Nothobranchius furzeri: one gene and its partners. Each later gene encodes a partner of the first gene's protein in a complex. Links are inferred from orthologs where the notes say so. Each region holds a gene or a part of one and is shown in the gene's direction. Other genes may lie near its edges.

Evidence for each region. The genes of interacting proteins can lie anywhere in the genome.
Region 2: the proteins of ptar1 (region 1) and ykt6 are in contact, whole or in part, in a crystal structure (PDB 6J7F), measured with the Homo sapiens proteins. The link is inferred for Nothobranchius furzeri from reciprocal best matches to the Homo sapiens genes PTAR1 and YKT6. Residues at the interface, in NP_001093136.1 of Homo sapiens: Glu31, Gly33, Leu34, Ile35, Pro36, Val48, Val50, Glu51, Lys53, Leu54, Gly55, Ser58, Lys135, Tyr191, His225, Ser228, Met229, His230, Val231, Ser232, Asp233, Phe298, Asp301, Leu302, Ser305, Tyr306, His309; in NP_006546.1 of Homo sapiens: Met1, Ser29, Phe30, Phe31, Asn83, Glu84, Pro86, Gln131, Asn132, Pro133, Arg134, Gln180, Phe184, Arg189, Ser193.
Region 3: the proteins of ptar1 (region 1) and rabggtb are in contact, whole or in part, in a crystal structure (PDB 6O60), measured with the Homo sapiens proteins. The link is inferred for Nothobranchius furzeri from reciprocal best matches to the Homo sapiens genes PTAR1 and RABGGTB. Residues at the interface, in NP_001093136.1 of Homo sapiens: Val61, Lys62, Leu65, Pro66, His69, Leu73, Arg76, Leu97, Asn98, Asp100, Phe101, Thr102, Thr103, Asn106, Lys109, Glu110, Leu113, Ile141, Arg144, Trp145, Pro192, Ser193, Tyr195, Ser199, Ile202, Trp203, Gln206, Val231, Ser232, His234; in NP_004573.2 of Homo sapiens: Lys6, Asp36, Tyr37, Cys40, Met41, Glu43, Tyr44, Ile89, Gly90, His91, Asp92, Asp136, Trp138, Glu140, Phe177, Asp178, Gly182, Cys183, Arg184, Pro185, Gly186, Ser187, Glu188, Ser189, His190, Gln193, Trp217, Glu221, Arg222, Pro225.

The regions. Positions count from the first base shown.
Region 1 is NC_091757.1:21,247,240-21,254,663, reverse strand, and holds part of ptar1 (protein prenyltransferase alpha subunit repeat-containing protein 1), read left to right. Parts: intron 1-215; coding exon 216-282; intron 283-5,599; coding exon 5,600-5,704; intron 5,705-7,424.
Region 2 is NC_091757.1:56,088,038-56,096,204, reverse strand, and holds the start of ykt6 (synaptobrevin homolog YKT6), read left to right. Parts: upstream 1-2,664; 5' UTR 2,665-2,857; intron 2,858-3,091; 5' UTR 3,092-3,146; coding exon 3,147-3,250; intron 3,251-3,428; coding exon 3,429-3,511; intron 3,512-5,387; coding exon 5,388-5,488; intron 5,489-5,562; coding exon 5,563-5,667; intron 5,668-5,773; coding exon 5,774-5,839; intron 5,840-7,850; coding exon 7,851-7,952; intron 7,953-8,042; coding exon 8,043-8,078; 3' UTR 8,079-8,167. UniProt on the Homo sapiens protein: Vesicular soluble NSF attachment protein receptor (v-SNARE) mediating vesicle docking and fusion to a specific acceptor cellular compartment. Functions in endoplasmic reticulum to Golgi transport; as part of a SNARE complex composed of GOSR1, GOSR2 and STX5.
Region 3 is NC_091751.1:41,398,121-41,406,095, forward strand, and holds rabggtb (geranylgeranyl transferase type-2 subunit beta), read left to right. Parts: upstream 1-2,472; 5' UTR 2,473-2,593; coding exon 2,594-2,596; intron 2,597-2,809; coding exon 2,810-2,917; intron 2,918-3,451; coding exon 3,452-3,649; intron 3,650-3,783; coding exon 3,784-3,889; intron 3,890-4,090; coding exon 4,091-4,143; intron 4,144-4,332; coding exon 4,333-4,443; intron 4,444-4,555; coding exon 4,556-4,681; intron 4,682-4,786; coding exon 4,787-4,936; intron 4,937-5,009; coding exon 5,010-5,150; 3' UTR 5,151-5,758; downstream 5,759-7,975. Other genes in the region: acadm (medium-chain specific acyl-CoA dehydrogenase, mitochondrial), read left to right, coding at 1-84, 155-403, 473-544. UniProt on the Homo sapiens protein: Catalyzes the transfer of a geranylgeranyl moiety from geranylgeranyl diphosphate to both cysteines of Rab proteins with the C-terminal sequence -XXCC, -XCXC and -CCXX, such as RAB1A, RAB3A, RAB5A and RAB7A.

The DNA.
Region 1 (7,424 bases):
AGCTACCTTTGTTAAAAGAAATGTTTGTTAGCTTTGAAAATGTGGGCATAACTTTTAGATACTTGTCTAAAACCCCAGCGAACCCCCCCCCATACATGTTCCGGCGTCTGCTTTGCCTTTAGTGAATATTGTTTTGACATCAGTATTTGTGTTCTGGGAAGGCTTGATTTACCATTCAAGCACTGATGGTAATCATGTGTTTTTGTGTCTCACAGCTCTAGTTGACATCACATGCACCCTCCTGCTGCTGAATCCAGATTTCACAACTGCCTGGAATGTCAGGTAAGTTTTCCTTTGAGAAATGGCTTTTCCGTTCCAAACAAGTTAGGTCTTTGTGTCTACGAAGATGACATACAGTGTGGCGAAAAGGGTGTTTAGCAGCCACTGATTGAGCATGTTGTTCTTCAAAAAAATAAAACGTCTGTAACATTCATCATAGCTACTCTTCAATTTTGAGAGATGGAATGTAAACATATGTGTCCAGGAAATAGGATTGTTCTAAAAATTGTAATTGTATAATGGTATAATGGTGCAGAAATAAGTGTTTGGTCAGTTACAAACATTAACTTCACTTTGCAACGTTACCTTGGTTGACAATAACAGAGGTCAAACTTTAGCTGTGGGTCTTCACCAGCTGGGCACACACTGTAGCTGGTACGTTGGCCAGTGCTTGTACGCAGATGTTCCCTAGATCAGATGTTTTGGGGCTGTTGCTGGGAGATGCTGACTTTCAACTTCCTCCACAGATGATCTGTTGGGTCGAGGTGTGGATACTGGAGGGAGTAGCCACTCCTTTGTTGCCACGTTTTATCTTCAATACTCTCACTGATGGAAGGAGGTTTTTGCCCAAACTCCTACAATACATGGCCCCATTCAGTCTTTCCCTAACACGGATCAGTCTTCTTGGGATTTTAATCTATGACGATGAAGTATGCCACTGTTGTCTGAGCTCTCTCCAGGTTACAGTTTCCCCTGTGTAGTTCTGGGCTGTTTCCTCACCATCCTCAAGAACATTTGTACCCCACAACATGAGGTTTTGCATGGTCGAGGGAGCCTGACAGAGATCTTGTAATAATTGCTCCAGATGTTGAGCTGCTGGCCTAATGTAGATGGGTTCATCCCAGTCTTGTACAATTTTGTCCCTGTTGTCCTTAGACAGCGATCTGGTCATGGTGAAGGTTGAAGTCTTTGGTGCTTTCACATCTGGGTCGCACGGACCCACCCTGGTAGCGTATATTATCTGGGTAGCCTGTGTGTTTTTTTCTGCCCAACCAACCTTTTTTTTCAGACCTCCTATCGTGGCAGTCCGCTTTGGGCTGAACTGTCTGATTGGTCAGCTGAAATTTATACCCATCTCAGATTGGCCGTTAGAATGATCCAGCAGGGGCTTCCTTAATGCACGATTCATTATCACTCTGGAGTTAACATCTCCTCTGACTGCTTCTGGGAGTGCTGCTCCAGCCACGGCAGCATGAGGACACACAGCATCCTCACTCCGAGAGAGAGCAGGAAGCGATTTCAGAGTCAGAGTCTCATGGCCGCCGTTGTTTACTAATTAAGGAGCACACCACGGACTTCTCTTTTGCCCCACCCATGTGCTAGGAGATTCCTGCATTCCCGAGAAGGCTGTGAACAAAACCTGCTCATGCCGACCCAGATGTGAGTGCGCCAGGTCTGTATGAATGTATGGACAGGTGACTTTTATACAGATAGTTCAAACAAGTGCTCTTGAACAGCTATTAAGTGGAGGAAACAAGGGAATCTAAAATCACACATCATCACTTCCTGGATTTTTTAAAAAGTCTACCTATGATGAAGAATACAGACCTCTGTCATCTTTAAGTGGAACAACTTCAACAGTCGGTGGCTGCCAAATATTTTTTGCCCCAGTGTAATCAGTTAAGTGAGAAAGTAATTTCCATTGTCGTCAAAATGTCAGTAGGAGCTTTTGAACCCATGGGTAGTGATGCGCCAATGCCTATACACTCCAGGAGATCTCTGAAAATGGTGTCGAAGGTCACTAAGATACGTATCAACTGGGTATGAATTACCTGGTCGAGGACTGAATCTCTTGACACCACGAGACATCCTATAGATGTCAGCCACGGTCACAGGTGAATGTGGTTGGGCTGGCTGGAAAGCTGGCCCGAACATCGCAGCAGCTGGTGGATAATGTTGAGCCGCTGGTGGGTAATGTTGCTGAGCAGCAGGAAGGTATTGTTGAGCTGGTTGGGGAGCTGGAACCATCACCGCAGCAGCAGGTGGGTAATGTGGGGCTGGAGGCCCCAGTGGGTGTGGTGGAGCTGACTGGGGAACCAGTTCAGCCACACCACCAGATGGGGGCAGTGGTGCTGAAGGAGGTGGGTGTGGTTCAGTCAGCTGGAGAGCTGGCAAAACCACACCAGCCGCGACGGCAGGTGGAGTGGCAGGTGGAGGAGCAGGTGGAACCGGGAGGGTTGAAGGGGTCCCCCTTCTTTCTCCAGTGAGCGCAGAAATCTGTGATTTTAAATCAGCAATTTCAATATCCCGCTCACGTATGTCATTCCTGATTTTGAAGAGATCAATCTTCAGAGCATTTTTCTCATCCTCCAAAACAGCAACTTGACTTTCTGCTCTCGATTTCTTATCCAACAACACTGCATTCTCTTTTAGAGCTTCATCCAGCTCCTTTCTGCTAGACTCATCGTCAGAGACGGAGCCGCTGGCTCCACCTCTATGCCTCTGCTCAGAAAGCGTGCGCATCGCACCTTGTGTAGCCACGTGACTCAACTTCCTTATCCCAGAGGTGAGCTAGAAGAACAGCAAACCGTCCCAGGTTCTCCGTGCGGGTTGTTGTTTTGACTCTCACCCTCGCCGGGTAAGGCAGCTGCATTCTCCTGCAGCTTCTTTAATAGGTCACCTGGTGTAAGATGCTCAAAGGACTCGTCGTAGCCACAAGCATTGAGGTTTGCAGAACCTATACATATTAAAACAGAATTGATGATTCCTTTCCCCACAGTGGAAAAACCAAGCTCTTCCTCAGACATTGTTTTGTCATTAATTTAAGTGTAATGTACCAGAAAACACAAAAAGAGTGTAATGTACGAGAGGTGCCACAAGATGGAGCACCTCACCTTAGAGCGCTAGGCAACAGTGCGGGAGGGGTAGTGAGCGTCACTCCGTTATGCACAGTGATGCCGTCCAAAATGGTGGACGGGCCTGGTGGAGACAGTCTTCTCACAATAAAAGTCAAAAATACGCCCAAAACTACTAAAAACATGCGGAGAGCTTGTTTTGTAGAGTATAGCGAGTTATGACGAGGACAAACGCCGCGTCGAACGGTTGACGGTGCCCCTGGATTTGTGTTTGCGGGCGTTGTCAGGCCTTGCTAATATTTAGCTTGCTAATATTTAGCTCACCAAGCTCGCGGGCGTTGTCAGGCCTTGCTAATATTTAGCTTGCTAATATTTAGCTCACCAAGCTCGCCGGCCTTATCAGGCCTTGCTAATATTTAGCTTGCTAATATTTAGCTCACCAAGCTCGCGGGCATTGTCAGGCCTTGCTAATATTTAGCTTGCTAATATTTAGCTCACCAAGCTCGCCGGCCTTATCAGGCCTTGCTAATATTTAGCTTGCTAATATTTAGCTCACCAAGCTCGCAGGCATTGTCAGGCCTTGCTAATGTTTAGCTTGCTAATATTTAGCTCACCAAGCTCGCGGGCATTGTCAGGCCTTGCTAATGTTTAGCTTGCTAATATTTAGCTCACCAAGCTCGCCGGCCTTGTCAGGCCTTGCTAATATTTAGCTTGCTAATATTTAGCTCACCAAGCTCGCGGGTGTTGTCAGGCCTTGCTAATGTTTAGCTTGCTAATATTTAGCTCACCAAGCTAACAGGCTTGGAGGTCTTTGTGAGGTGTGTCTCTTGGCGTAATTCTCACGGGAATCAGCCCTTCGACCACGGTATTCCTCCCACAGGTTCTCGTGCTAATTTGTCAGTATAGCGTGTAATTTGCGGTATATATATCTCGCTACGCTCTTCCGGTATGGGCTTAAGATGAGCTTTCTTCAGCTAATCAAAGCAGCGGGCAATAAAGCACTTATTTCTGCTTCAGGCATCCCTGGTTAATTCCGAGCACAGAATTAATGTCCAGAATTCTCGTCGGAAAATGTTGAGTGATTCACGATTGATCAGATCGGAATCAGAGGTAGCTTAATGCTAAGTGGAGATCAGCATTTCCTGACTCATGTAACACAAGCTTTTCAACGGTGACAAAACCACACAAATAAACGTAGCAGAATCACTCAAAGGACGTGACAAACTCGATCACAAATGTATTTACCTTTAAATCAACACACAGTTAATCTCTTGCAGTTTTAAACTGTAGCTTCGCTATAGACACATAGACTGCAAGGGAGGGTAGCGCCCCTGGTGGGGGACGGGAGTCTCCGGGTTTTGGGAAATAGGTAGGGACAGCGTCCCCAGATGGCGAATAATGAGATTGCCCTCGTTTTCCACCCAGACAGAAAATAATAGTTTTTTAAGGAATAATTAATGGATCAGAACCAACACGAAGTGGACAATTCTAATAAAGTCTGGCTGACTTCTGCCAATATGTAGGGTTTGGTAAATTGAGTGCTTTAAGAGCTCAATACATATTACCTCTACTTATGACCAATAAGCTGTGATACTCTATATAAATATAGAATATCAACCCTGCTTGGTCTTTACGGTGTTTAATCAGAAGATCTAGGGATCTTGCTTTATCAGGGGATTGTACACACTTTGTTTTGATTCAGAAAACAGTCAGGTTTATAAAAGTAAAAATTTATTTTACCAACAATTAAAACATTAACTAACATTTTACTGTGATGGATGGAACTAGATGTGATGTATGAACCTATGTGTGAATGTGATGTTATCAGAACTTCCGTATCTAGGAGAGCTGAGTTCTGGATGCAAAAGAATTTGGTTTACGTTAAGCTATGAAGTTTGATTTTATAGCCAGTGTGAGTCCACCTCACATGGACTCACACTGGCTAAATACAAGGAAAGTAAAAAAAAAATACACTTAGTCCTTATTTTTTAACTAGTTTACCAATAAAGGCTGAGAATTATACTGGCAAGTGTAGCTACTAAAGAATAAAGTTACTGCCACGACTGAGAGGTGAACCTGTGCAAAACAACATGCCAGTCCAACCACTGGACCATGGAGTCTGTTAGAAAGCGATAGTCGCCTAACATACATTTCCTTTGCTGACCTATAAGTGCAGCTATGTAGACAGGATGCATGGTTTATACAGTGGTGTTTTATCCCCAGTGCAGAAGTAATTTGCCAGAATATCCACAGAATACCTATGTTTTAAAACAAAGACAGGGAGGTGAAATGCCTGATGATGCAAGTAGTTTTCATTCAGGCATTTTCAGAATTTTCAAAGTAAAATGCTAAATTTGCAGCTGATACAGGGAAATGCATGAATGCAGTCAACAATAGGTTTGTGGGTATTATTCATTAGGAAATAAAAATATCACATGGTATAAAGCTCAGAAAAGTGGATTCTTCATTACATGGCCCCTTTAAATGAGTGCTACATACAGCTGAGTAATGTGTGTGTATTACAGGAAAGAGTTGCTGCAGTGTGGTGCTCTTAGCCCAGAGAGGGATCTGTACCTTGGAAAGCTGACACTCACCAAGTTCCCCAAGAGCCCAGAGACATGGATACACAGGTAACATTGACTTATAAGTAAAATGAGTAAAAGAGATACACGCATAACATGAATACGCTGCTAACGCTGGTAACATGGGTTCGAAGGTAACATAAGTATCATGGTTAACATGGGAAGTGTGTGTGAGGCAGTGCCTTTCAAGCGTTTGTGTGTGTGTGTGTGTGTGTGTGTGTGTGTGTGTGTGTGTGTGTGTGTGTGTGTGTGTGTGTGTGTGTGTGTGTGTGTGTGTGTGTGTGTGTGTGTGTGTCTTACGCTGCAAGTTGTGAAGCGCGTTCCATCCGCGAGCGGCATCACCAAGCGGAAAGGCTTCGCAGGACAACAAATGTGAATATTAAAATCGCCAAGGATAATCACTCTATCATATTTCGGAAGAAACTCTGCTAAGATGTCAGAAAATTCATTTAAAAAGTTAGAATTGTACTTTGGTGGGTGGTAACAAAGTAAGAACAGCACTGGGGAGCTAAAATCCAGCTCAAAAAGTGATAATTCAAAGCTACTTGGAGTCACAGAGGCCGAGAGTCGTTTCAGGTGGAGGGTAGAATCAAACAGAGTTAGTAGACCCCCACCACGACCGGAAAGTCTAGGCACGTTGAGCACTGAACATTGCAAAGGACAAAGTTCTGAGAGAGCAGCCGACTCACCAGGCGCGACCCAGGACTCCGTCATGCAGAACAGGTTTAGCTTGTGATCGACGAAATAATCCTTTAAAATGGCTGTTTTATTTCCAATTGAACGTACGTTCTGGAGAGCAACCCTAAGGGGTGGTGCAGGCTCCGAGCAGATTGATTGGAAGGACGGGGCAGCATCGTCCAGCATTGGGTAGCTCAGGTTAGCAGAGTTAACACCACCACCAGGCGGCCAGGTTTTCTTCAGCTCGCCTCTTTTTCGGCTTAATATTTAAAGTTACTTTTTTCGTAACGTACGTGGTGCATTTGACAAGACAGCTGAAAACGGCTCGTGCATGCATCGGTCACTGCCTCCGGTCGGGTTTACTCTCTCTCTCTCTCTCTCTCTCTCTCTCTCTCTCTCTGTGTGTATTAATTCATGAACTTAAATATCAATGTTCTGATTTCATTGAAAAACTTATTCTGTAATAGTTCCTTTACTATTGTGATTAAAAATATTTAATCTAAGTTCTGAGGCTGCTCTGTAAATAGTTTTCAAATAAACACACATAGCAACTTCTGATCAATCCATATCAATTTCAGACTTAAAATAATGTATTGATGTAAACCACACCCACTTCCGAGTTAGGCCACACCCACTCCGAGTACAGATACAGATAATTTAGATGGTTGAACAGATACAGATACAGATAGCTGTGTACTTGCACATCCCTAACTGGTACCAAAATAAAAAAGACAAAGAACTGTTTGTTAAAACATTTTATTTCTTTTATTGGCCATTAGTTATATAAAAAATGTCCAGCCAGCATTTTCAGCTTTATCACTATTGTCTGAGTCTCATTCATTCCAATCTTCTGAAGTTGCCAAACCTTCTGGTCCACAAATCCGATTTTTCTAAGCTTTTTTACTTTAAATGTATCTAACCTGTAAGATACTCAAATAACAAAGAAAGTGAAGGGAGGGTGTTACAACATGGAGATGTTGTGAAATTGAATGAGACTCACTAACATTACAACGATAGGAACTATATTAAATTAAATCCATTAAAATGGACATGGTAATTAAAGAATCTATTAAAATCCCTAACTTGGTAA
Region 2 (8,167 bases), about 35 Mb from region 1:
TCCCAGATGTAAAACAGAACACTACCGTAGGTCATTCATCCCCTCTGCAGTAATAGTGCGTAAATTGTCAGTTTAACTGGTACTGGCATTATCCTGGTACACAATGACATCAGTGTGGTATTCAGTATGTGTTCAATACTTGTGCAGTACCTGACGTAATATGTCTGAGTTCATTATGCTGCATAGTTCTGGAAACCCAAGTTTCCTTTTCATTCATTGTTTTTAGTGGTTGAAGGTTACACAAATAAATAAATAAACATAAATAAACATTGATAGCTCATTACCTTTGTGTGTTTATCTGAAATCTCGTTATTATTCTCTTCTTCCTTTTTTCTCTAAGCAGATGTGCTGCTTTAGTCGGTGTGGGGTTAATAAAGTCTATTATATTTTATTTTATTTGCAGATGACAATAATAGTTTTTATTCTGGGGTATGGCTCAAAATAATTGCAGAAAGTGTGGTTTGTGAGATGTCTAAAATTAAAACGTAGCTTAAAATAATTTATTAATTATGAAATGCAACAAAAAACATTACGGACGTTATTTTTTAGAATAAAAAAATGTTACTTTTAGTAGAAATTTTGAGTCACAAAACTTAGTTGCATATGATGCAAAAAGTTTATAAATCCATGGAAATTTCCAAAACGTGTGTTTTAGAACTATCAGCGCAACACATTTTATATTATTCACTTCATTCACACCTGAGTTTCTGTTTAAAGAAGTTAGAGTTCACACACGCGATCAATACTAATCCCTAGTTTGTATTTAAAGAAAATATATCAACTAAATGAATAATATTTAAGACTAATGACATTGTTTGCAGTAATGTATTTGTAGAGATGCTTATTTAAGCACAACCAGATGGAAATAATTGTCTTATAAGTAAAACAGGAACAGGTTTGTTTAGAACTGCTGTTGGAGTTTTGATTTAATTTATTAATGACTACATTTGGATAAGTAAACTAAATAAATGGGATTAAATATCAAACTCTATATTGTTACAGTAAAGGAAGTGAGCTGGAAAATTGTTGTTTTTGCAGATTTGCTGTAAGATTTTCCTCATAAAATAAGACCTTTCTAGGAAAATCTGTGACTCTTTTTCAGCCACTTAGCTCAAATGAGATTGCTTCCTCTGCTGTCTAAATCTAGCTCTCACAAACACACAGAGAGAGATGAACTGTTACCTTTTCCATCCTTTCACAGTGAGGGTTAAATCCTGGACGCGCCGCTGACCATCGGTGCTCTGCAGCAGAACTTTAATGGAGTCTGGAGTTCCCCGTTTGTCCTCTATGAATGTTTTTTCTCTGTGCCCATTCACAACGTTAGAAATAATTGATTCTGCAAATGAGACGTCAGACCTATCAGGCCTTTTTCCCCCATGTGTCATCTACATATTGCTCGATGAAAGTTCTCCACAGTGCTTTTTAAGACCTGGCTGGTAAACTCTGAAAGGATATCATCAAAATACCACCTCCCCCAAAAAAACCCAATCTTTAAATAATCTACGGGCTTTTGTTCATTCTTGCAGTACAAGAAGTCATTTGGTGCAAAAATGAAGAATTTGGAATCTTATGCATATTTTATGGCAGAGTGTAAAGAGCGATCTGGAAGAAAAATGTTTAAGATTCAAAGTGATTTAAAAAAAAAGCTACAGCTTCACTCTGAAAAACTGCCTTGTTGACCCCCAAAAAGTGTAGGCTATACTATTAACTTTCTGCATAACATTCTTAATGTTTCGTCCCAGGACAAAAAACACGTTAAAATAAAATCCAGAGCACTGATTTGGAATAAAAAAAAGAACAAAAATGAAGATAGATTATTCAAACTTCCCATTAGAGTCTGAAATCCTCCTGGACAAGGTTGTCTGTGAGCAAAACTAGAGCTAATTCCAGGAAAGATGTTTCCCTTCCTCCCGTGGTGTAGCTGATCCAACAGATGCATCTGAAGCCTTAGCAGTTCCCATTTTATGTTACCTGGGAAATTAGCAACAGGCACACTACTGACATGGAAAACACTTACTTACCGTAAGTTAAGTGGCCAGGAGGAAATTGTTAAATGGACCAACATTACCACAGAGGAGATCAGTTGATGGCGCCATGTTTTTGCTTGGCAAAATGACTGGTAGATGAAAAAGAAAACAGTATTATTGATTTTAAAAAACCGTCTTGTATTTTTATTACGACTTCTCAATTAGCTTAGACATTCTTCAGAAAGCAGCAACCAGACAATAGCAGATTTTAAAGTTTTTGAAGCATTAGGACAAATTAGTTAAAGGACTCAAATGAAATTACTGCATAAAAAATCCTGTGCAAACAAAATAACCGAATATTTACAGGGAGTGAGAACATCAATGATAATAATATTATTATTATTTAATATTATAGATTATTATTATTATTATTGCTGTTGTTGTTAACATTAATAGAGTATTTATTAGTAACCCTGAAAAATATTCAGAGGAAAAAAATAACAAAAATGTTCTTTTCCCTAATTTGGAACAAAATATAATAAAGTGGAGCATCCTCTGTAATGAGCAAATGCCTTTAAAAATTCTATTATTCCATATTTAGTTTAGTTTTCTTTTCCCTCTTCATAGTTTTCAAGTCCTCAAAATCCTCCAAAAGGATCTGGCGCGCTTTTATTAACGCAGGCGGAGCCGTTTTCCCAAACACGGAAGTGACGTCAAAACGCTCATGTAGATGGGAACGTCTACTGGTTCTGACGTGGAAACTGATTACTGAAGTACAAATTCTCCCTTTGAGACAACACTGATAATTCTTGCAGTCGCGCTGTAGAGCCTCTTGTTGATCTTTTTTGTTGTTCTGGTTTAAATCGGGTGTTTCGCTGCTGAATCTTCCGGTGAGTTTGGCTCAGGCCTCTTCTACAATGTAGCATATCTGGTTAGCTTATTTAACTCATGAAGCTGAATTAAAACGGGTTCGTCTTTACAAATAAACAAAAACATACAAAACAAGTTACCAGAAGCTAAGTCAAGCAAACAGCCTGCTAGCTGTCAGTACTTTCGCTCGTAAGCTAAGTCTGTTTCGCTTCTAGCAAGTTTAGCAGGGACGCTAACCAGCTGCTGGCTAACAGGTAATACTCTCGTGATTGTGACCGCTCTACAGACCTGAGCTGATCCGGTGGTATCATGAAGCTCTACAGCCTCAGCGTCCACTATAAAGGGTCGACCAAAGCCAATCTCCTGAAAGCGGCCTATGACCTGTCATCCTTCAGCTTCTTCCAGCGCTCCAGGTGCCTCCCAGTATTTACGTATAGATTAAACGCTCTAGTCTTTGTTGGTGTTAATGGTGTTTGAAGTATTTGGTACTAAAACTCTGTCAAACGCCTAAACTCGTGGATCACATATCATACTTGCTTACTGTTTTCATTAGACTACCATCAGTGATGATGTTTTATTTTGTAAATTCAGTGTTCAAGAGTTCATGACCTTCACCAGTGCACTGATTGTTGAACGAACATCTCAAGGAACCCGTGCCTCCGTCAAAGAACAAGGTAAGGCTGGTGTGGTCCGTTTTAAAGACTTGTATTTGATCTTCTACCTGGTCATGACGACAAAACCATGTTGGGTTCTCAGGAGTAAGAACAAGAGTGTAAAGGATCTTTTAGATGTTAAGAAAAACATTGATGTTGAGGTTATTTTCTACATGTTTTCTCACTTTTTTCTGTCAGTTTGAAGTTGAGAATAAAGACATAACGCACAAAGTAGCAAATGAAGCTTCTTTGTTTATCCATAACTAAAGAGAAACAAAAATGTGGACTTTTTAAAATAAATAAAAATACTAAATATTAGTATTTTAAAAAGCTTATTTTTTTCTTGGTATTTCATTAAGATATACATATATATATATATTTTAAAATGTTGGCTTATATAAATATTTCATAATTATTCTTAAAAATAGTAGCTTTAGTCCTCGCTGTATCAAAAAGCACGAACTGCCCATCCTGTATTGATCGTGACAGATTCCCTTTTGCATTATTTTGCTAAACATCACTATTTATTTCTGAGTCCCAAAGATCCTCAGTGGGTTTCAGGTTGGGAATCTGGTGTCCAGAATAAAATGATGTCTCATGATCCCTGAACCAGCCTTTCACAGTTGACATTGTTATATACATTTATATATTGTATATTATTTATTTATTATTTATTTGTTTGCTCTGTTAAATCCGGCTTGTGACTTGTTTTTGAACAGGCAGTGTTTGATCTAAACGTGGCTGAGTGTCAGTAACTGGATGTTAAACTTTCTACATGGCCTAGTGGTAGAGTGTCCACCCTGGGACTGGGAGATCAGGTTCAGATCCCAGGCAGGTCATGCCAAAGTCTTTAAAAATGGGACCCAATGATTGACGCTCAGCTTTAAGGGGTTGGATTGGGGGGTTAGACCACCAAATAGTTCCAGAGCACAGCCACTGCTGCAGCTCACCGCTCCCCACGTGCTGCAAACAGGATAGCCGTCCTCTATCAGCTGTCCCTCGGCATTCTTCAAATATCCAAAAAATGCCGTACTTCCCACTTTGTCTTCTTTGAGGGATAATAAATGTCCTCCTGAGCGCTGCCGTCTCCTCCTTTGGCCATTATTTCAGCTTTAGCTTCAAGAAAGTTTTGGTTGTAAACAACAAAGTGCGCATGTGCCGCCGGCAACTTCAGCAGATGATACGGTGGCTGGTAAGGGTCACCACGCCTACACCGCAGCCACGGTGATCCACCGAGATAATATAGTTTTTAAACAAGACGGTTATTGTTACGTCCCCGACGGGTGTTGTAAGAATGTGAAGGATGGGGGTAACATAAGAACTGGCGGAGGAGTTTAAAATGGGTTTAATGGTAACAAAAAGGTATTAAAAAAAAAGCAAACAGATCTCTCTAAAAGGTTAACATTACACAGCAAATTATCAGCTATAAAACACCGGGTTAAAACTTATATTAAAAGCTTCACCACACGAAGGTGTTTAAAAACCGAGGTCAGTAAAATTGCACAAACCAAGTTAACCTTAAAACCAAACAGCCAAAAAGATCCCACTGGATCGTCCAGAAAAACTTATCACCAAGAGTTCAAAACTGCCAAAGTTTAAAACTCGTCCAAACGAAAGGGGTTGAAAACAAACAAAACCGGGAGGACAGCAGAACCCCTGCACTGCTGAGGGCACAGCCCTTTTATCCAGGTGTTTGCTCATCAGGTAGATTCCTCGCAGCTGTGCTCCTCAGCAGCCCGGGAGAGACGAGGAGGAGGGGCGGTGTCGGGCTGCTTCTCTCCACTGGCCACACTGGCAACCGTAACAGTTATTATTACTGTCAACTTCTTTTACCGGGGTTTACCGCTACACCGGTTACCGTGACAACCCGAGATTTGACTTATTTCCACTTCTGCAGAGTACCTGTGCCATGTGTACGTGAGAAACGACAACTTGGGTGGTGTGGTGATCGCAGACACTGAATATCCACAGAGGGTCTGCTTCACGCTGCTTGAAAAGGTGAGTAAAACGTTTAGCGTGCTGCTGCAGCGCTTTGCTCTGAACAGCAGCTTTTAGACTGCTCTGTCTCTCAGGTATTAGATGAGTTCTCCAGGCAAGTGGACAGTGTAGACTGGCCATCCGGGAGTCCTGACACCGTCCACTACAAAGCTCTGGACATTCACCTTTCTAAGTACCAGGTTAGTTAAACGGCGTCACACACCATCGTGTATTTTATCATATTTGTGGCTTTTTATGAATCTCGTCAAACAGATTCTTACAGCTGATCATCTGTTTCCCCCTCAGAATCCCAGAGAAGCTGATGCAATGACCAAAGTGCAGGCAGAGCTGGATGAGACCAAGATCATTTTGGTAAAATACGTTCACATTCTTTAAAGGCCAGCTCCTCTGAGAAACTTTTATTTTATTTGTTTGTTTACTTCTTTTTGAAAGTAAGTCACTGAGAGTTTAGGATGCAGGCTGAAGAAGAAAATAGTCTCTTACACCTATTTCCTGCTTTAGCTTCTGATAGAATACAGACAGAAAACGCTCGGGTGTGTAGTCGTGCACACGCATCAGCGGAGACGTTCACCTTTCAGACCTCTCCATCGCCTGGACTGTTGCCAAGCAGTTCCCCGTTGATGGCTCTGCTGTTGACAGATTTAAAGGAAGTGGCATCCTGATCATTCGCAGACTTGCGGTTTCTGTTGTTTTCAAAAGAAAGTAAAAAATGTGGGCGTGTCTCCGTCACCCTCTTTTCAGGCTATTGCATCAGCGGCGCTTCGTCTCCATCACAGAGCTGATGTAAACATATAGACTAGGCTGTAGGAGTCTGAGCCGCGGCTGTGGTTCGATGGCAAATGTGTCATCGTGTTGGAATGTGACAGGAGCTGTTTAACCCTCGGGGGTCCGTGGACGCGCATCCGCGTCTTTAACAGGTCTGATTTGGGACGCTGTAGCAGCAAGACTCCGCCTCCCTGAGTTTCGGTTTCAATTCAGCTTTAAAAAGGAGATTTTAAACTACACCCCAGTTTTTAAATGTTGTTAATAGGCAACGTAAAAGCGGAGTTATGCTAAACTAAAAAAACGACCTATTTTTAGACAATCTGATAACTTGTCAAAACAGCAGTTTAATGATCCGTGAGAGGGAACGTGCTTGTGAACATAAAAACATGAGATCCTGTTGCTGTTGGTGGAAGTCTCACATATTCAGCTGATAAAAAGCATCATTATGTAGCTGAGAGAGAGAGGAAGGCTGCACGAGTAACGAGGTGTGCGCCAAAAGGAGCCGCTTGGCGGGGAAAGGAGTGGCGCCAACGGAGTAACAACAAACAATTAGACAGATATTGACGGTAAACTTCATATTTTGGAGCGATCCGGACAGATATATCGTCTCTGCAGTTTAGTGGGCTTTTATTAGGCTTTAATAAAGGATGATGAGAAGGATAAATGTCCACCAGGCAGGTCAGATAGTACGGCTGTTTTTGGAACTGGAAGCAGAGGAAGTGGGCGGAGACTCACAGCCGGAGTTTGAGGCAAATAGCGAGGATGTTGATGACGATGTGGCGGATCCATCCTTCCTCATAGAAGAGTTGGGTCATGATGAGGTAGAGGATGACGGCAGAGATCCAGCTCCTCGGAGATCCAACGAGACGAGTGGGCGGCGCCGCGCAGCTGTCAGATCTCGATCTCCGCGGCGTGAGACAGAGCCACTCCCCACTCCAAAATGCATGTACATTATTGCCAAATCAATAAAATTAGTATAAATTCAGATAGTCCAGACTGTCCTGAAAAAATTATGCCCCATAAGGCAAAATTTGTTTTTACTAGAAAAACCAAAATGAGTCAAAAACGGTGATTTACATCCTGGACCCCAGAGGGCTAATAATTTATTTTTAATGTGTTATTTGCTATATTTATTCATATATTTTTTTTTTATAAATGTACAGCCTAAATTACCATTCTAAATTATAAAAAACATTCGTCATAAATGTTTGTTGGTTTCACAGTAAAATAAACAACTTTTTTCCTATTCGGATTTTATGTTTTTGAGTGATTTAAGGTCTAATATGCAACCCCTTTATGTCCAAATATAAAAAATAAGTATAAATCCATAAAGTCCAGGTTGTGCTGAAAAGATTGATACCACATAAGGCAGTGCTTATGGCTTTTATTTTGGAAATACAAAAGAAAACTCTAAATTAGTCAAAAACGGCAAATTACACCCTGGAGCCCAGAGGGTTGATCTCTAGGTGGTGTGTTTCACATCCTGTCAGACGTCAACATCCAGAGCCTGTGGCTTTAAGAAGTAGGCTTTAGCGGTTTTCTCTGGATAATTCTGAATCCTAATCTCTGCACTGTTTCACGTATAAACTCTCTGCAGCACAACACCATGGAAAGTCTGTTGGAAAGAGGAGAGAAACTGGATGACCTGGTTGCGAAGTCAGAGCACCTGGGAAATCAGTCCAAAGCCTTCTACAAGACCGTAAGTCCCGTCGGCTCGTCTCGTTTCACGTCCAACTCTGACCTCGTCTGCTTCTGTTTTAAAACTCTGGTTTTTCTGTCGACCCTTCAGGCACGGAAACAGAACTCGTGCTGTGAAATCATGTGATGCTGCTGCCTCGTCCTCGTGGGGACAACTCTCTGCCTTTCTGCTTTTCCTACAACCCCCATCATGCACCGGCTCTCCACCGGGACGGA
Region 3 (7,975 bases), on another chromosome or scaffold:
GCAACAGGTCTGGCACAGAGAGCGCTGGATGAAGCCACTAACTACGCCCTGGAGAGGAAGACATTTGGCAAAGCGATTGCTGAGGTTTGTTTTTAATGAAATCCTTTAATAGAAATGCACCTGACAAGATGGGTAAACTGTTTGTGTCTGGCAGCATCAAGCCGTGTCGTTCCTGCTGGCTGAGATGGCCATGAAGGTGGAGCTGGCCCGGATGGCGTACCAGCGGTCCGCTTGGGAACGGGATCAGGGTCGCAGAAACACTTATTACGCCTCCATCGCCAAGGCCTTCGCTGGAGACATCGCCAATCAGGTGGCTTCTGATGCCGTTCAGATTTTTGGAGGCAACGGCTTCAACAGCGAGTACCCGGTGGAGAAGCTGATGAGGGATGCAAAGATCTACCAGGTGGGTGTTGCCTTTGCATGCAGGTGAAGCTGGAGGCTTTCATTTTAAATTGAATCTGTTCTTTTGTAGATCTATGAAGGCACAGCTCAAATCCAAAGGCTCATCATTGCCAGAGAACACCTAGGAAGATTCCAGAAATGAAATCAGCTGTTTGACTTTTCTTCTTCTGCATTTAAATATTGTACTTTGGATATAAATAAGCTCCTGTCAAACTAATCTGGCCTCAGGATGCAGCTCTAGATGTTGTTTGCCTTAAAACGGATTCATTCTGCTCTGCAGTATCAAACAAGTTCAGACCACGAAAAGGAAACATTTTTAAGACATAAATAATCGTGTTGTTTCCAGTTTAGCACATTTTGTACAAAAACATCTTTTGAATGTGAAGGAAAGAGAGTCTGTTCAGGTTGGAAATGATCATCAGCAGGATACAAATAAATGTGTTTAGAAGGAAATCTGTTTCTGAACTAAAACTGTTGCAGTTATTCTCGTTCACGAGTGTTTTGTTGATAAAGATGTTTTTTTTAATGAAAATCCGGTTGAAGGTCAAAGTTCAGACTTGGCTCACACCTTTGTGATTTTTGTTAACTTGTCTTCATGCCTGTAGTCATGCCTTAAACACACAACTGACTCTGGTCAAATGTGTAAAGTTGTATAAATTCATTTAACACTAGAATGTGTGGAAGTAATTCTGCATGCTGTCAGCCAGTTCCACTCAGCAGACATTATCAACATTATGGTAAACTTCTGCACACTTGCTCACTAATGTTGGATGTAATGCTGTATGATTTTTCTGAGCCGTCCACTTAATAAATTCATTCTGGATTATATGGTTTGGTTTTATGGATGTCGGTCATTCTTTTGGATGAGTGAACAAAGGAAATCCTAAATGTATTAATGAAAAAAAAAAACTGATCACCATTATATGTACTGATTGTAAACAAACATTTAACGCTTTAAATGTTAGTCATGTTACATTTTTACGTATTTGTAGCCGTTTTTAAATCTAGTTTCTGTTAAAACTTTACTGATGTATTTCCTGAAGAATAGGTGTTTTAAATATGATAGCTAATGGTATAATTTAAAGGAAGCTTTTTGATGAATAAGTAAAAGTTTATTTATATAGCGCCTTTCACAGATATAAATCACAACATGATAAAGATCAGAGCAAATACCTCTAACCAATAAAAACATCTGAAAAACAATAGCAGTGATAAACGTAGAAAATAAAATCATGAGTATAAACAAAGGGAAGGTGTGAACTCGAACAAAACCATCTTTTTGAAACATTTAGGGAGGTAACGCCTGGATGAAAAGGTGAGTTTTTAGATGATTTTTAAAGACCTCTACAGTGTTAGAGAGACGGAGATTTGAAGGTAGACTGTTCCAAAGTCTGGGGCCAATAGTCTGAAAGGCCCTGTCCCCTTTGGTTTACAGTCTGGTTCGAGGAACAGCCAGGAGGTTTTCAGATGTGGATCTAAGTTCCGAGAGGTGATGTGTGGGGATAAAAGCTCAGATAGGTAGCTTGGAGCCTGGTTGTTAAGAGCTCTATAGGTCAGGAGGACTAAAACTTTAAACTGTATTCTATATTCTACCGGGAGCCAGTGGAGGGACTGTAAAACTGGAGTGATGTGAGCTCGTCTGCTGGATTTGGTTAGGAGTCCAGCTGCTGCATTTTGGATGGCTTGAAGGCGTGAGAGGGAGGTTTTGCTGAGACCAGTAAAAAGAGCGTTACAGTAGTCTAAGCGTGATGACACAAAGGCATGGATGATTTTTTCCAGATCTGCAGTAGAAACCAGTTTACGGACTTTTGAAATGTTTCTCAGTTGAAAGAAACAAGAGCGGGAGATGGTTTTGACGTGAGTCTAAACTTAAAGCTGGATCAAAAATAACTCCTAGGTTTCTAATGTTGGCCTTGGCTGATGGGCAAAGTAAAAGTAAAGTAAAAGTAACTTTTCCAGTTTTTTCCCTAGAATAGTTACATATTTTTACTATACTATCACTAAAAGTACAAATACAAAACACTTAGTATTTTTGATTTCAAAACCGCACAATAAATAACTCAAATTGATATTTTGTTCTTGTAATACTTCAATCAAACCAGAAGGTGGCGGTAAAGTCTGAAACTATACGACATTTAAAACCGTAGAAGAAGAAGGCCGGAAGTAGCTTGACCATGCAAAATATGTCAGAATGGTAATCCGTCACTTGTTCTTCTGTGCTTTAGAGCATCGTTTTATAATTAAAGTGTGTGTAAATGTTATCTTGTCTTCTTTATTTAAATGCTGTGCCGAAGTGGATGCTACCCTTGTTAGCATTTAGCAGCTAGTCATAACAATGTGTCCTCCTGTATTCGTTTAACTACAGCGTAGTTGTGTCTTGTGACCGTTTCTGTTGTGTTTTTGTCAGAGTGCTCAACTAAAAGATGTCATCATTAAACCTGACGCTCCCAGCTGGCTGCTGCTGGACAAACATGCAGATTACATCGCTGCCTACGGGTCCAAGAAGGACGACTATGTGAGTGACGTTTTATTTACACTTAGTTTGTAGGATTTGTGTCGTCTCGTTTTTATCTGCCTCTGTCGATAAAACCTCGTTTCAGAAGTTTTAAACGTTTTATTTATTTATTTTGGGTTAAGATAAAAGATGCATTCAGGTGTTTTAAAAGGTAAGTTTTTTGTCCCAATTTTCCACAAAGTATATTAAAAAAGACAGAAAATGCTTTAAAGAAACCAAAGATGTACATTTTAAAAAATAATTATAAGACTAAAGAGACGGCCCTCACGTCTCATGAGCACCCACATCAGTGGGGATCTCCCCTGGACCCAAAACAGATTGCCAAGAAGGCAAAATTTTGAACTGCCCTCCACAACTCTCAGCAACTACAGCAGCCTGATCATCTGATTCACTGGTTAAGATTGTGTGCACAAATAAGAAATTTTACTTTGGTTTAACGGGTTTTTGCAACAGGAATTAAATAATGTTTTAAACCCAAAATCAAACTGTACCTGGTCTTTGGTGTTAATGAAATCTGACACCTCTGTGCTGCAGGAGTACACACTGTCAGAGTACCTGAGGATGAGCGGTATCTACTGGGGGCTGACGGTGATGGATCTGATGGGTCAGCTGCCCAGGATGAGCCGTCAGGAGATCATAGACTTCATCAAAGCCTGCCAACACGAGTGTGGAGGCGTCAGCGCCAGTATTGGACATGACCCACACCTGCTGTACACCCTCAGCGCCATCCAGGTGACACAAAGCCTCATTATAATAAATCACAAATGCTAAGGATGTGAGGAAAACTCAGATGAGCTAAACGATCACATGTGTTTTTCTTTAAGGTTTTTAGTTGACATCTTTTTATTTTTACACGTCTTTCTCAGATCTTGTGCTTGTATGACAGCCTGGATGCGATCGATGTTGACAAAGTGGTGGAATATGTGAAAGGGCTTCAGCAGGAGGATGGCTCTTTTGCAGGGGACAAATGGGGTGAGCGAGCTTTACTCTCTCTTTCATTTAGAGTAAAAATAAAAAGTCATTTTCACAAAGCAAAGCAGCTCTTTAGAGAAACCTGCACAACAAACTCTTAGATGTCTGAGAATAAGGAGCTGCATCTGGAATTGTGCACAAGCTTTAACTATAAGATTATTTAAAGATCTTTATCGTAACTGAAGTTTTCGTTCTTTTCAGGAGAAATAGACACACGCTTTTCTTTCTGTGCGGTTGCTACGCTAGCGTTACTGGTACGTACGGGTTTGTCTGAAAATAACCGTAATGCAGGCTGAACCAACAGTTCTGTGATAAAACTCACTCAGTTGCATCTTTTTTCCTGATGTCTGTGAACTTTTTAAAGGAGGTCGTGAGTTTGTTATTTAGTCAGATTAACCATACCTCTGAAGATTACTTTCTAGTCTTCATCTGTCCTTTCCCAGGGGAAAATGGACTCGATAAACGTAGACAAGGCGGTTGAGTTCGTCCTGTCCTGTATGAATTTTGATGGAGGTTTTGGCTGCAGACCTGGTTCAGAGTCTCACGCTGGTCAGGTGAGTTTTTGTCCCCAAACAACAATGTAAAAAAACCTAAAGGTTCAATTTATAATAGAATGAAAAATCTTCTGACATTAAACCCCCTGTTGCTTTTTTACGCTTTCATAAGATTTACTGCTGCACTGGTTTCCTGTCGCTCACTGGCCAGCTGCACCAGCTGAACGCCGACCTGTTGGGCTGGTGGCTCTGTGAGAGGCAGCTGCCATCTGGAGGCCTCAACGGGAGACCAGAGAAGGTCTGCCACCTCCTGATGATGTTTGGTTTTAGATTTGTTTGGAAAAATGACCAAAGAAACCCTTTTTTTAAGACTTGTCTTTAATCAAACCTCCATCTGACGCAGCTCCCAGATGTTTGCTACTCGTGGTGGGTTCTGGCATCGCTGAAGATCATCGGCCGGATCCACTGGATCGACAAAGCCAAGCTGCGGCGGTTTATTCTGGCCTGTCAGGACGAGGAGACGGGAGGTTTTGCAGACCGACCAGGAGACGTGGTGAGACGTGTTCTGAAAAGCAGAGCTCAGATTTTCCTCCAGTGTTCTGAATGTTCTGGTCTCTCCTCTGCAGGTGGATCCTTTCCACACTCTGTTCGGGATCGCCGGTCTCTCTCTCCTCGGCGACGAGCAGATCAAGGCAGTAAATCCGGTTCTGTGCATGCCGGAGGACGTCCTGCAGAGGGTCCACCTGCAGCCCGACCTCCTCAGCTAGCCCATCATCATCCTCACAAACACCGCTACCCTCACATAAACTCCCCTCAGCTGGAAGCAGGAAGTGGATCCGGACTCATCTCTGTTTCACTCTTCGGCCTTAATCCTTCCTCTGCTCACGTTTCTATCCAGCGTATCGTGTTTCAGCTGTTGAAGTTTAAACATAATTTAAAAACACATTCCTTACACTTAAATGCATCACTTCCATCAGCTGCAGCTAAGAATTAATATTATTGTTTATGTGGAACTTTGGATTCAGCCGGGAGGAAAAAGTGTTTTTGGCACCTTAAACTCTTAGCAGTTACGTAGCTGCTTTTTAATCATAAAAGGCGTTTTTATGAGCAGCAAGAGCGATGTGGAGGACACTAACGGTGTTTGCAGCAGACAGGCTTTCTGGGAAACCTAACTAAACAATATTCTACGTTTACAGCTTTATTCACTATTTATTAAACCTATTCACAGCTCTCTAAGGATTCTGGGAAATTTCTGTTAAACATTTGAGTCGTAAATTCTTCACTTTTATTGTCTTATTGTCAAACGTTTGTTTTGTTGTTGTGAACTGATCCGTGTCCGTTGGTACAGAGTAAATAAATCACACCAGTGTTCAAATTTCTAGTGTTTTTTTTTTCTGATTTAGAAGCCAAACATTGTTCCAGTTACAGATCTGATAACTTATGTTCACTAAGACAACTTGAGATCGGTTTAGAAATGAGCTTCACATCAATAGGAAACTTGTTTATGTTATGTTTTTCACTATTTTACTGCAGACACTCAGTAACGTTCTCATATTTGTATTCAGCGTTAAAAATCACAGTTTTAAGATATTCAACTTTACTATAATAAGTTTGATTGCAGAAGTTTCTGTTTTACACAAATAAAAAACTAATCAGTTTGGATGTTGAACTTTTTCTTAGGTACAGGTATTTTATGAAGCGGTGTTTGGCTCGTTAATAGTAAAAATGATCAAATATGTTCATCTAGAAGCTTTTAAACAAGCATTGATGGGTTTGTAATCTAAAGCTTAAAGAGCAAGTCACCCCCTACCAGATTCGTACTCAACTCCCACTTCCTGTTTGAAAAATGCAACAAATGCTGTTGCCCAGCAGACCGAGAGGGCGGAGCCGCTAACAAATACAGGGTACCTCTTAGCCAATAGCGATGGCAGATTTAAATTCAAATGCAGTGCAGAGTTTTTACCTGACAGTTTTAGGCAGAAAATTAAAATTTTAACAAGAAATGCACTAAAGTGTTAAACTATTGACTACACGTGTCTGCAGCACAATTAGACACGCATTTATATAGTTTATTCGAAAAAAAAAGTTGATTTGGGGGTGACTTGCTCTTAAAACATAATGTACATAAAAGCTTTTCAGTTATAAATGTTCTTTAAACTACTTTGATACCTCCGTTATTAAACTGTGTTTGATGTGGTTGCAGATTTAGTAAAACTAAATTACTTCTGTAACGTTTCTCCCTGAGGCTGCAGAGGCGGCTGTGGTTTACCTCCAGATGGCTGCTCCATCACCTGTGGTGTCCAACTCTGGTCCTCAAGGGCCACGCACCTGATTTTAATCAGTAGGTGATTAACAGGCTTATGCAGAGCCTGATGAGCAGCTGAACAGGTGATTCAACCATGTGACGAAGACCGTTGGAGCAGGGAAACAACTAAAACATTACAGGATACGGACCTAGAGTTGGACACCACTGGTAAAAGTCATCAAAATGGTCCACAGTTTTTAATGTTTGATGCGTTTTTCCACTCGGCGTGTCCAACATACACTATTTAAACGAAAAGGTCATTGATGAGCTTGTGAACCAGGGACCACATTAGATTTAGCAAAAATGATGCTGTTACTCTGTCCAGTTTGAGCAATTTTAGGGTTAATTGGGAAGCAAAGACCAGTAGAATAATTTCTATCAAAGAGATAATGTGATTTCTTTTTTCAGAGGCAAAATGGAAGTTGGGATCACTGATATGTAAAAACACCACACAGCTATAATAAATGTTAACATAATCAGCTCCTTTACCACAAAACAAAACATTGTGTGAGTCTCTCACTAAAAGTGAGCCACCTCCTGTTAGTTAAGTTTTTACTGGTGAAAACTTTTTCACCACTGGATTTTTGTCATTTTGATGTGAGTGGTGATCCAAACAGCTTAGGAACAAATTCCATTAGTACCATCATGATGTTGCATAAATAGGGTTTAGTTAGTTCCCCTGTTGCTAAGACCTAAACGCCACAGCGTTTTATTATGAAAGAATTTACAGAAAGTGTTTCTAGGGAGATACTGTAACTTTTTGAAGGTAGTTTCTTCTTCTCTATAATATTAATGCTCCCAAGAGGACAAGAACTAAGATTAGGATTTTTTTTTCATCTTCATTGAGATAAGGATGCTAAAATGTTCTTTTAGATCAGGGGTAGGGAACCTAAAATGTCCAGCATGTTTTGGAGGTTTACCTGCTTCAACACATCTGATTTTAATCAGCAGGTGATTAACTGGCTTCTACTAAGCCTGGTGAGCTGCTGAACAGGTGAATCAACAGTGCTGAAGCAGGGAAACGTCTAAAACCTGCTGGATAGTAACTCCAGGATCAGGGTTCCCTACACCTGGGTATAACTGAACTAAACTGTACTTCCAGCTTATAGCCACTGGAGGGTGCCAATACCCCTTCTCGTTTTTAAAGGTCCAGGGAAACCATGAGGAAAACCTGTAGCTGACAGGGGTTAGCAGACTCAATACTATACAACCACTGTTACATAAATACAGTTTTTATTGTTTTTAGCTGAAAATATAAGAAAAAATACGATTACAGCGAGTTCCTCT